3 linked regions of the Callithrix jacchus genome follow. The protein of the gene in region 1 interacts with the protein of each later gene in a pairwise test. Links are inferred from orthologs where the notes say so. Each region holds a gene or a part of one and is shown in the gene's direction. Other genes may lie near its edges. The genes, in order: RELA, NFKBIE and KEAP1.

The links.
Region 2: the proteins of RELA (region 1) and NFKBIE interact in binary tests that used the Homo sapiens proteins (3 or more experiments, as listed by UniProt). The link is inferred for Callithrix jacchus from reciprocal best matches to the Homo sapiens genes RELA and NFKBIE.
Region 3: the proteins of RELA (region 1) and KEAP1 interact in binary tests that used the Homo sapiens proteins (3 or more experiments, as listed by UniProt). The link is inferred for Callithrix jacchus from reciprocal best matches to the Homo sapiens genes RELA and KEAP1.

What each region holds. Positions count from the first base shown.
Region 1 is NC_133511.1:122,752,007-122,756,349, reverse strand, and holds the start of RELA (transcription factor p65), read left to right. Parts: upstream 1-1,409; 5' UTR 1,410-1,495; coding exon of another isoform or gene 1,496-1,502; 5' UTR 1,503-1,597; coding exon 1,598-1,634; intron 1,635-2,110; coding exon 2,111-2,137; intron 2,138-2,227; coding exon 2,228-2,379; intron 2,380-2,479; coding exon 2,480-2,628; intron 2,629-4,159; coding exon 4,160-4,251; intron 4,252-4,343. UniProt on the Homo sapiens protein: NF-kappa-B is a pleiotropic transcription factor present in almost all cell types and is the endpoint of a series of signal transduction events that are initiated by a vast array of stimuli related to many biological processes such as inflammation, immunity, differentiation, cell growth, tumorigenesis and apoptosis.
Region 2 is NC_133505.1:52,725,562-52,728,134, reverse strand, and holds part of NFKBIE (NF-kappa-B inhibitor epsilon), read left to right. Parts: coding exon 1-69; intron 70-791; coding exon 792-1,014; intron 1,015-2,043; coding exon 2,044-2,132; intron 2,133-2,318; coding exon 2,319-2,558; intron 2,559-2,573. UniProt on the Homo sapiens protein: Sequesters NF-kappa-B transcription factor complexes in the cytoplasm, thereby inhibiting their activity. Sequestered complexes include NFKB1-RELA (p50-p65) and NFKB1-REL (p50-c-Rel) complexes.
Region 3 is NC_133523.1:9,678,800-9,682,447, reverse strand, and holds part of KEAP1 (kelch-like ECH-associated protein 1), read left to right. Parts: intron 1-75; 5' UTR 76-122; coding exon 123-761; intron 762-3,648. UniProt on the Homo sapiens protein: Substrate-specific adapter of a BCR (BTB-CUL3-RBX1) E3 ubiquitin ligase complex that regulates the response to oxidative stress by targeting NFE2L2/NRF2 for ubiquitination.

The sequences.
Region 1 (4,343 bases):
AGAAAATACAGAATTCTGGATGGTGGTGGCCCCTTGAGTTTTGCAGTGGGTACACGGGTGTTTATAGCATTAATTTAAAAGTTATAAACATACATGAATTTTAAGAAGAGGATCCATGCAAGATTCAATGATAATTTTATGTCATTAACCAAAGATTTTGATTAATCCATTCTGCCACCTGAAGTCTGCCTCCCCCGCCCCCTAACAAAAGTAAACACTTTTCTAATCAGGGCCAGCCACTGGAGAAACTGAAATGAGTGGGCGGGGTGCTAACTCTATTTTCACTTTTCTCTTCCTGTTTCTTCAGAGCCTGGGAAACAAGTCAGAATTTCCAATCTTTTCCAATTCCCACATGATTTCCTAATTTAAGACGAATTCAGAGAAAAAATAAAGTCTTTCTCCATCTGGAGAAGACTCCGCCCCCTGCAGTGGAGCATCCTCTTTCGGGGAGGAGGTGTGGGGTGGGGGTGCGCCAGCCCCAGCCCCGACACGTACGCGGTTTGGTCTTGGGGGCGATACCGGCACTGTGGGGGTCACATGACAGAATTAGTGGTCAGCCCTAGCTAGAGGTCCAGGGCAAACGCAGGGGTGGGCGGGGGCGTCGTGACTCTGCTGATTCAAGTGTCCCCTGGGGGTCCCGGACCTTCTGAGACAAGCGCCAGGCTGCGGAGACAAGGCTCCGGGGTTTACCCCCGGGCTCCTCCTGCTCCCACGGTCGCTCAGGGTCTAAAATGCAGTTCGGCTGCATCTTAAGCTGGCTCTTTAGCGTGAGAGGGGCGAGCCCTCGGCCAGCTCGCCGGCGGGAGGGCCTCGGTCGTCCCATCCGGGCTGCAGGCTCTGCAGAGCTAGTCTATACTGTCAGGCGAGGAGGCCCGGCCGCTCCCCTTCCCCAGAGCCGCATCTAGATTGGGGTGGCTAGGACATTTTAACGTGCTTCTGAGACAGTCACCACCGAAAGGCGCCTTTAGCGATCAGGAAACCCGCGTAGACTTCAACCACCTGGCCTTTGCGGGCGCAGAAGGCCAGGCTTGGCCTTTCCCTGCGCGGGACGGGTGGCCGCAGCCCAGCAGCCCTGGCTTAGCTCTAGACCCGGCCCAGAGTGACATCACCAACTCCACCGATCGCGGGAAGGGGCCCCGAAATCCCCTAAAAATAAAGTGAGTAATCGACGGACACGCCCTCCAGGTGGGGCCGGGACTCGGAAACTAGCCCAGCAGCCTGCCGCGCCAGCCTCTTCGTCCCCCGCGAGGCGCGCACTTGGCCCCGGCCCCCTGCGGCGGCTGTGCGCGCGGCCTCTTCGTCCTCCGCGCGGCGCGCACTTGCTCTCGGCCCCTGCGCCGGGCCGCCGCGGTGCAGCACGCAGGCGCGGCCGGATTCCTGGCAGTGACGCGACGGCGGGCGCGCGCGGCGCATTTCCGCTTCTGGCGAATGGCTAGGCTGTAGCGCCCGCCGCGGGCCCAGCTGCGACCCCGGCCCCGCCCCCGGGACCCCGGCCATGGACGGTGAGGTCGCCCTCTGACCCCGCGGGGTGGCCGCGCCGGGGCCGCCGGGGCTGTGGCGGGAGCCCCCGCGCCGCTTTCCGCCCCTTCTTGCGCTGATGGGCGCTGCGCAGGGAGCGGCCTGCCTGCTGGATGGTGGCGCGGGGCGGGGCAAGCGGGGAGGGATCTGACTCAGTTTCCCCTCTGGGTGGAGGGGAGGGCCTTAACTCAGTATCCTCCCTGGGTGGGACAGCGGAGGGAGCCTTGACTCAGTTTCCCCCCCACTGTCTATGGGGGCAGCTCTGGCTTCGTTTCCTTGTTAGGGAAGAACGCATCTGATTCAGTTTCCTCTCTGGACGGAGGTGGGGCGTGCCCTCCCCCAGTTTTCCTTATGAAAGGAAAACTAATTCAGTTGCCCTCGGGAGAGGAAGGATTCCTTACCCCGTTTTCTCTCAAGAAGCAGGTGTTTCTGGCTCCTTCTCCCCACCCTTTAGTTTCACCGCCTGTTCTAGGGAACGGGTCCTGACTCCGTTCCCCTGGGAGGGAGCCTGGCTTCTCTTCGTGGGGAGCAGATTCCCCCGGTGAGGATGGGCAGTGGGTGTGTGCTGACCCTGATCTCTCTCCCCTTTCAGAGTTGTTCCCCCTCATCTTCCCGGCAGGTAAGTGGCCCCCGCGGTGGTCGGGGAGGTGCTCCCTGGGGTAGGGCAGCGGGGGCAGCCACCTAATGGGTCTGCGGTGTCCCCTGGCAGAGCCAGCCCAGGCCTCTGGCCCCTATGTGGAGATCATTGAGCAGCCCAAGCAGCGGGGCATGCGCTTCCGCTACAAGTGCGAGGGACGCTCCGCGGGCAGCATCCCTGGCGAGAGGAGCACAGATACCACCAAGACGCACCCCACCATCAAGGTCAGCATTGAGCCGGGGAGTGCGGGGTAGGGACTGCGAGCCCCAGCCCTCTGTTTGGGAGTCAGGTTTGGATGTCTGGGCTTCTCTGTACTTTGGACAGATCAATGGCTACACAGGGCCAGGGACAGTACGCATCTCCCTGGTCACCAAGGACCCTCCTCACCGGCCTCACCCCCATGAGCTTGTAGGAAAAGACTGCCGGGATGGCTTCTACGAGGCTGAGCTCTGCCCGGACCGCTGCATCCACAGGTGAGCTCCCTGCAGTCTAGGAGGCCCAGCCTGAGGGGACAGGATGCGGGCTGTGAGGTAGACGCTACAGTGTTACTCCTTTCTGGACACAGGACAATTTCTCACTCCTTGCTCTGACATAGTTCTGCAAGTAAACTCCCTTTGTTTTAAAATTATCATTTATACCTCTACTCTAGCAGATAGGAGCTCTAGGGGATAGGGATGGGTCCCTAATCACTTCTGAATCCCTGACCCTGTAGCTGGAAGGGGTAGTCCGTCAGAGTCATGTCTCTTGTTTGAGAAAGAAAACCATTGAACCAGTACTCTCCCCGGAGTTGACATTACAGTTGACAGAGACAGACTATAAAAAAAATATACAGGCCAGGCGTAGTGGCTCATGCCTATAATCCTAGCACTTTGGGAGATGAAGGCAGGAAGATCTCTTGAGCGTAGGAGTTCAAGACTAGCTAAGGCAACATAATGAGACCTTATCTCTACAAAAAAATAAATTAGCCAGGTATAGTGTCATGTTCCTATAGTCCCAGCTACTTGGGAGGCTGAGGTGGGAGGACCACCTGAGGTGGGAGGCTGAGGTGGGAGGACCGGCTGAGGTGGGAGGACTACCTGAGGTGGGAGGCTGAGGTGGGAGGACCACCTGAGCCAAGGAGGTCCTTGCTGCAGCAAGCTGTGATCATGTCACAGCATTGAAGTCTGAGTGACAGAGTGACACCCAAGTAAATAGCCTGGCACAGTGGCTCATGCCTGTAATCCCAGCACTTTGCGAGGTTGAGGTTGGCGGATCATCTGAGATCAGGAGTTCGAGACCAGCCTGACCAACATGGTGAAACCCTGGCTCTACTAAATACAAAAACTTAGCCGGGTGTGGTGGTGCACACCTGTAATCCCAGCTACTTGGGAAACTGAGGCAGGAGATTGGCTTGAACCTGGGAGGCGGAGGTTGCAGTGAGCCAAGATTGAGCCATTGCACTCCAGCCTGGGCAACAGAGTGAGACTCTGTCTAAAAATACATAAACAAATAAAATATGAATAAATACACAGATAAGTAAACAAGGTACTGTCAGAGTAATACTTTCAGTGCTGAAAATAAAACAAGGTCATAGGATGAAAGGATAACCTGGGGTCGGGGAGTGAGGGGAGCTAGTGTAATGACTAGATTGGGAGGTCAGGGAAGGCCTCCCTCTGCTACTGCTTGAATGGTGAGGAGGAGGAGAAAAGTAGGAAAAAGAACATTCCAAGCAGACCAAACAAGTGCTAAGACCTTGAAGTGGGAATGAGTGTCTTGTGTTAGAGAAGGGAAAGGAAGCCCCTATGGTGGTAAGCAGATGGCCCAAAGGGAGGCTGGCAGGGGCGGGGGCGCAGAGGTGCTTGTCAGCGGAGGGGAGGGACAGGGTTCGTTGCAGCATAGTGGGAAGCCACTGGAGGGGGTTAGGTATGGAGCGATGATCTGCGGGTGGGCAGGGGAGGAAGGAGCAGGCTGGGCAAGGCAGGAAGGTCCCAGCTCTGCAAGAGACAGGTGAGTGGGGGTGTTCAGTTTCCAGAACCTGGGAATCCAGTGTGTGAAGAAGCGAGATCTGGAGCAGGCTATCAATCAGCGCATCCAGACCAACAACAACCCCTTCCAAGGTAAGGGTGAACCTGCCTGCCGCACCCATACCCTCTGTCACCGTTCCCAGCCCGCCTTTCCTGCATCTCTCCCTCATTGGCCAAGACACAAT
Region 2 (2,573 bases), on another chromosome or scaffold:
GCAGTGCTGCTCTGTTGCCTGGCTTTGCTGCCCCAGGAGGTCCTGGACATTCAAAACAACCTTTACCAGGTTGGTGACGAGAATGGGTTGTGCCCAGATACCTGTTTGTGCCCTGACAGCCATCCCCAGCAGCCACGCTAGTCCATAGGCCGCTCACTGAGAAAACCATATGCCAGACACTGAGCTAGAAGCTGAAGAGACAAACACAAGTAAGACACAGCCTCTCCCTAAGGTGCTTGCAGCCTGGGCTGGGGGACTCGTGTCAACAGCTAAATACACAGCCTGGTGACAAGAGCTGTGATAGAGACACACACCAGCTGCTATGGGGTCCACCGTCCATGTGTAGCAGCCAGGGAAGGCTTACAGAGGAGGTGACATCTGAATGGAGCCTTTGCAGAGACGTTTGCCAGGGAAAGACTGCCTGGTGCCTCTATCTTTCCTCCAACATAACCCCTGCAGCCTAAGGCCTGGGGATAAGAGAAGTCTCCCCACAGGATGAGAGGCTAGACTCTGTCCCTACATATCCTTTCTCCAGGGCCTATGGTGACTTACAAGAAAAGCAGAGAGCTACTTTCTTCACCTTGCTTCCAGAATTGGGGTCCCAAGAGATTGGTGGGACTCAGGCGTGACAGGAGAAGGGCTTGGTAGTATTTCCTTGGAAGCCCAGGCTATGACCTTTATAAGTGGCTTTCAAAGAAGACGCTGGCAGCTAGTGATTCTGGAGCCCAAGCTTGTTCCCAGAGGTGGGAGCATGCTGCAGTGGCCCCATGACCCTCTATTTGTGCCTCCAGACAGCACTCCATCTGGCTGTACATCTGGACCAACCGGGTGCAGTTCGGGCACTGGTGCTGAAGGGGGCCAGCCGGGCACTACAGGACCGGCATGGTGACACAGCCCTGCATGTGGCCTGCCAGCGCCAGCACCTCGCCTGTGCCCGCTGCCTGCTGGAGGGGCGGCCAGAGCCAGGCAGAGGACCATCTCACTCTCTGGACCTCCAGCTGCAAAACTGGCAAGGTGTGGACAGTCTTAGGGCCTGTGGGAGGAGGAGGGCATAGGAGATAGGGCTCCCATTCTTGGGGAAGGGAGGGTCCCAGCTTGTCCATTGGTGCCCCTCCCACTGTAAGCACATAGATATACAGCACATCTTTGCTAAATGAATGAATGGATGAGTTAGAATTTACCCAGTACCTACTGCGTGCTGAGCAGAAAACTAAATCTTGCTTTTAAGGTACTTAGTTTAACAGAGATCAGATGACCCGATTCATTCATTCAACAGAAACATGCCGAGGGTTTTCTGTGTGCCAGACATTATCCTAGGAACTATGCTTGCGTCTGTGTGCAAAACAGAGAAAGATTGAGACAAGCAATAAATACAAGAAGTGAACTATGTAATAAGTTAAAAGGAAGCAAGTGCTGTAGTGAAAAGTAGAGCAGTGAGGGGAAGGAATGTGGGGAACAGGAGAGTTGATAGGATTGTTAAATAGAGTGGTCAGGGAAGGCCTCATGGAGCCAGGGACATCCGCACAGGGACTTGAGGGAGGTGAAGAATGTAAGTTTGAATCAAAATCTCTATTACTAAGCAAGGGTCAGGAAGTGTCCAAGTGTCCAGACCAGAAAGGGGACAGCAAAAAGGCCAGGAGAACACACAGAAGGAAGTGGCCCCTGAGAAAGGGCTGGGGTCATGAGGATCCTAGATGGCTTTTCAGAAAAGATGGCTTTCAGACTGGGCTTGAAGGCAGGTGTGTGTGTGTGTGTGTGTGTGTGTGTTTTGTGTATAGGAGGAGGGTGTTTTTTTGGCATGTCACTCAGCAACTTGACTCCTGAAGCATGAAAGTTTCAATAACATGACTCTGAAAAGGTGGAAACTTTGAGTTCCTTTCCCCTTAAATTTTTGAGGGGGTTTTGGGGTTTGCATTTTAACAGTCTTGTGATTAGAGACATTGAGTGGGCAGTGAGTCCCTTGGGGCTGAATGGCTGGAAGGTCCCGGAAGAGAGGGAGTTGGTGGATGCAGATCAGCAGCCCTCACCCTCACCCCATCCCAGGTCTGGCTTGTCTCCACATCGCCACCCTGCAGAAGAACCAACCACTCATGGAACTGCTGCTTCAAAATGGAGCCGACATTGATGTGCAGGTGAGGCAGCCATCAGCACACTGCCTGGCACAGGGCCTTCCCCCCACCTGACTCTGCCCCCCACCTGACCCAGCCCCAAGCCCCCTGCCCAGCGGTCAGAAGTGGTAGCATTTACCTCCTTATCCAGAGCCTGGGCCCAGCACACTGCCTCTGAAGGCCTTGGCTGATATCCTTATTTCTTCCCAGGAGGGCACCAGTGGGAAGACAGCGCTGCACCTGGCTGTGGAAACCCAAGAGCGGGGCCTGGTACAGTTCCTGCTCCAGGCTGGTGCCCAGGTGGATGCCCGCATGCTGAACGGGTGCACACCCCTGCACCTGGCAGCTGGCCGGGGCCTCATGGGCATCTCATCCACTCTGTGCAAGGCGGGTGCTGACTCCCTGCTGCGGAACGTGGAGGATGAGACACCCCAGGACCTGACTGAGGAAGTAAGAGACATATGC
Region 3 (3,648 bases), on another chromosome or scaffold:
CTTACAAAAGGAGGCCAAGCAGGTGCTGGCCCAGCCCCAACCCCTGCCCCCTACCCTGTGCTGTCTCCCCTCCAGGCCCCTGAGTACCAGAGGTGGTGGTGTTGCTTATCTGCTGGAACCCCATGCAGCCAGAACCCAGGCCTAGCGGAGCTGGGGCCTGCAGCAGATTCCTGCCCCTGCGGTCAGAGTGCCCCGACGGGGGAGGGGACGCAGTGATGTACGCCTCCACGGAGTGCAAGGCGGAGGTGACGCCCTCCCAGCACGGCAACCGCACCTTCAGCTACACCCTGGAGGATCATACCAAGCAGGCCTTTGGCATCATGAATGAGCTGCGGCTCAGCCAGCAGCTGTGTGACGTCACCCTGCAGGTCAAGTACCAGGACACGCCAGCCGCTCAGTTCATGGCTCACAAGGTGGTGCTGGCCTCTTCTAGCCCTGTCTTCAAGGCCATGTTCACCAATGGGCTGCGGGAGCAGGGCATGGAGGTGGTGTCCATCGAGGGCATCCACCCCAAGGTCATGGAGCGCCTCATCGAATTCGCCTACACAGCCTCCATCTCCATGGGCGAGAAATGTGTCCTCCACGTCATGAACGGTGCTGTCATGTACCAGATCGACAGCGTTGTCCGTGCCTGTAGTGACTTCCTGGTGCAGCAGCTGGACCCCAGCAATGCCATCGGCATCGCCAACTTCGCTGAGCAGATTGGCTGTGTGGAGTTGCACCAGCGTGCCCGGGAGTACATCTACATGCATTTCGGGGAGGTGAGCGGGGGACGGGGCTGGCGGTAGTGTCAGGTGAAGGACCAGGGATGGAGGAGTGCTCATCACAGTCTCCCATCTTGAGATGTGAAAGGTCACTGTCTCCCATTGAGATATGAAGGCAGGAAACTGGAGAAAAAGGAGGTTCTGGGCTGGGCATGGTGGCTCACGTTTGCAGTCCCCACACTTTGGGAGGCCGAGGTGGGAGGATCGCTTGAGGCCAAGAGTTCAAGACCAGCTTGGGCAACATAATGAGACCCTGTCTGTAAACAAACAAACAAACAAGAAACAACAGGGGCTGGGCATGGTGGCTCACGTTTGCAGTCCCACTTTGGGAGGCCAAGGCAGGTAGATCACCTGAGGTCAGGAGTTCAAGACCAGCCTGGCCAACATGGTGAAAACCCATCTCTGCTGAAAATACAAAAATTAGTTGGGCATGGTGGTGCACCTGTAGTCCCAGCTGCTTGGGAGGCTGAGGCAGGAGAATCTCTTGAACCTGGGAGGCGGAGGTTGCAGTGAGCCGACATCGAGCCGCAACACTCCAGTCTGGGTGACAGAGCAAGACTCAGTCTCAAAAAAAAAAAATTTAAAAAACAACTGGAGTTCTGAGTTGTCTACACATGTAGGGAGACTTGTGAACAGCTGGGGGAGGTGAGGTCTTCTTGGGTCTCTGGGCTCCCTGGTTTCTTTGGGGTCAAAGGTGGGGACAGAATGCAGTGAAAAGCAGCCAAATCCTGGGGCAGCCCAGCCTTTTGGGCAGTCAGCAAATGTTTATCAGACACCCATAACAGGCTGCAAGTCTGAACCTTAGTCTTGTTTTTTTTGGTGCACGAAATTTCCTTACACTGTTTTTGGTTTCATTTTCATTTCTCAGTGAAGGAAATTATCTATAGAAATTGACAAGAAAGGGCCAGGTGCTGTGGCTCAGGTCTGTAATCCCAGCACTTTGGGAAGCTGAAGCAAGCGGATCACTTGAGGTCAGGAATTTGAGGCCACCCTGACCAACATGGTTATACCCCGTCTTGGCCAGGCACCGTGGCTCACACCTGTAATCTCAGCACTTTGGGAGGCCGAGGCAGGTGGATCACCTGAGGTCAGGAGTTTGAGACCAGCCTGACCAATGTGGTGAAACCCCATCTCTTACCAAAAATACAAAAAAAGGAAAATTAGCCAGGCATGCTGGCATTTGACTGTAGTCCCTGCTACTTGGGAAGTTGAGACAGGAGAATCCTTTGAACCTGGGAGGTGGACATTGCAGTGAGCCAAGATCGCACCATTGCACCCAAGCCTGGGTGACAGCGAGATTCCGTCTCAAAAAAATAAAAATAAAAATAAACTCAGAAAAAATAAGTAACATATTCTTTTTATTTTATTTTATTTTATTTTTTAAAGATGGGGTTTCACCATGATGGCCAGGCTGGTCTTGAACTCCTGACCTCAGGTGATCTGCCCACCTTGGCCTCCCAAAGTGCTTGGATTACAGGCTGGATTACCGCATCCAGCCCTATAAGTAACACATTCTTAAAGTTCAAAAACCAAGTCAGTTATGGTGATGCACACCTGTAATCCCAGCTACTCAGGAGGCTGAGGTAGGAGAATCATTTGAGCTTAAGAGTTCGAGACCAGCCCGGGCAACAAAGTGAGATCCCACATCAAAAAACGACAAGGCTGGGTGCGGTGGCTCCTGTCTGTAATCTCAGCAATTTGGGAGGTCAAGGCAGGTGGATCACTTGAGGTCAGGAGTTCAAGACCAGCCTGGCCAACATGGTGAAACCCCATCTCTACCATAAAAATACAAAAATTAGCTGGGTGTGGTAGCACACACCTGTAGTCCCAGTGACTCGGAAGGCTGAGGTGAGAAGATCGTTTGAGCCCAGAAATTTGAGGCTGCAGTGAGCTATAATCGTGCCACTGCACTCCAACCTGAGCAACAAAGCAAAACCCTGTCTTAAAAGCAAAAACAGGTCGGGTGTGGTAGCTCACACACCTGTAACCCCAGCACTGTGGGAGGCTGAGATGGGCAGATCATGTAAGATCAAGAGTTTGAGACAAGCTTGGCCAACATGGAGAAACCTCATCTGTACTAACAATACAAAAATTCCAGCCTGACCAACATAGTGAAACCCCCTCTCTACTAAAAATAAATACAAGGCTGGGTGCAATGGCTCAGGCCTGTAATCCCAGCACTTTGGGAGGCCAAGGCGGGAGGATCACCTGAAATTAGGAGCTTGAAACCAGCCTGGCCAACATGGAGAAACCCCATATCTATTAAAAATACAAAAAAATTAGCCAGGCATGATGGCAGGTGCCTGTAATCCCAGCTACTGGGGAGGCTGAGGCAGGAGAATCACTTGAACCTGGGAGGCAGAGTTTGCAGTGAGCCGAGATTGCGCCACTGGACTTCAGTCTGGGTGACAGAGTGAGACTCTGTCTCAAAATAAATAAATACAAAAAAATTATCTGAGTGTGGTGGCACACTCCTGTAATCCTAGCTACTTGGGAGACTGAGGCAGGAGAATTGCTTGAACCCGGGAGGCAAAGGTTGCAGTGAACCAAGATTTCACCACTGCACTCCAGCTTGGGCAACAGAGCGAGACTCTGTATCAAAAAAAAAGGAAAAGAAAAAGAAAGAAATAAAATTAGCTGGGCATATTGGTGGGCGCCTGTAATCTCAGCTACTCAGGTGGGTGAGGTGGGAGAATAACTTGAACCTGGGAAGCGGAGGTTGCAGTGAGCCGAGATAGTGCCACTGCACTGCAGCCTGGGTGACTGAGACTCCATCTCAAAAAACAAACAAAACCAAAAAACAAATGATACTGCAGGGTATACCATCTATTGAGTCTTTGCCCATTTCCCTGAGTCCTGATGACATGCCTGGCATGTAGCATTA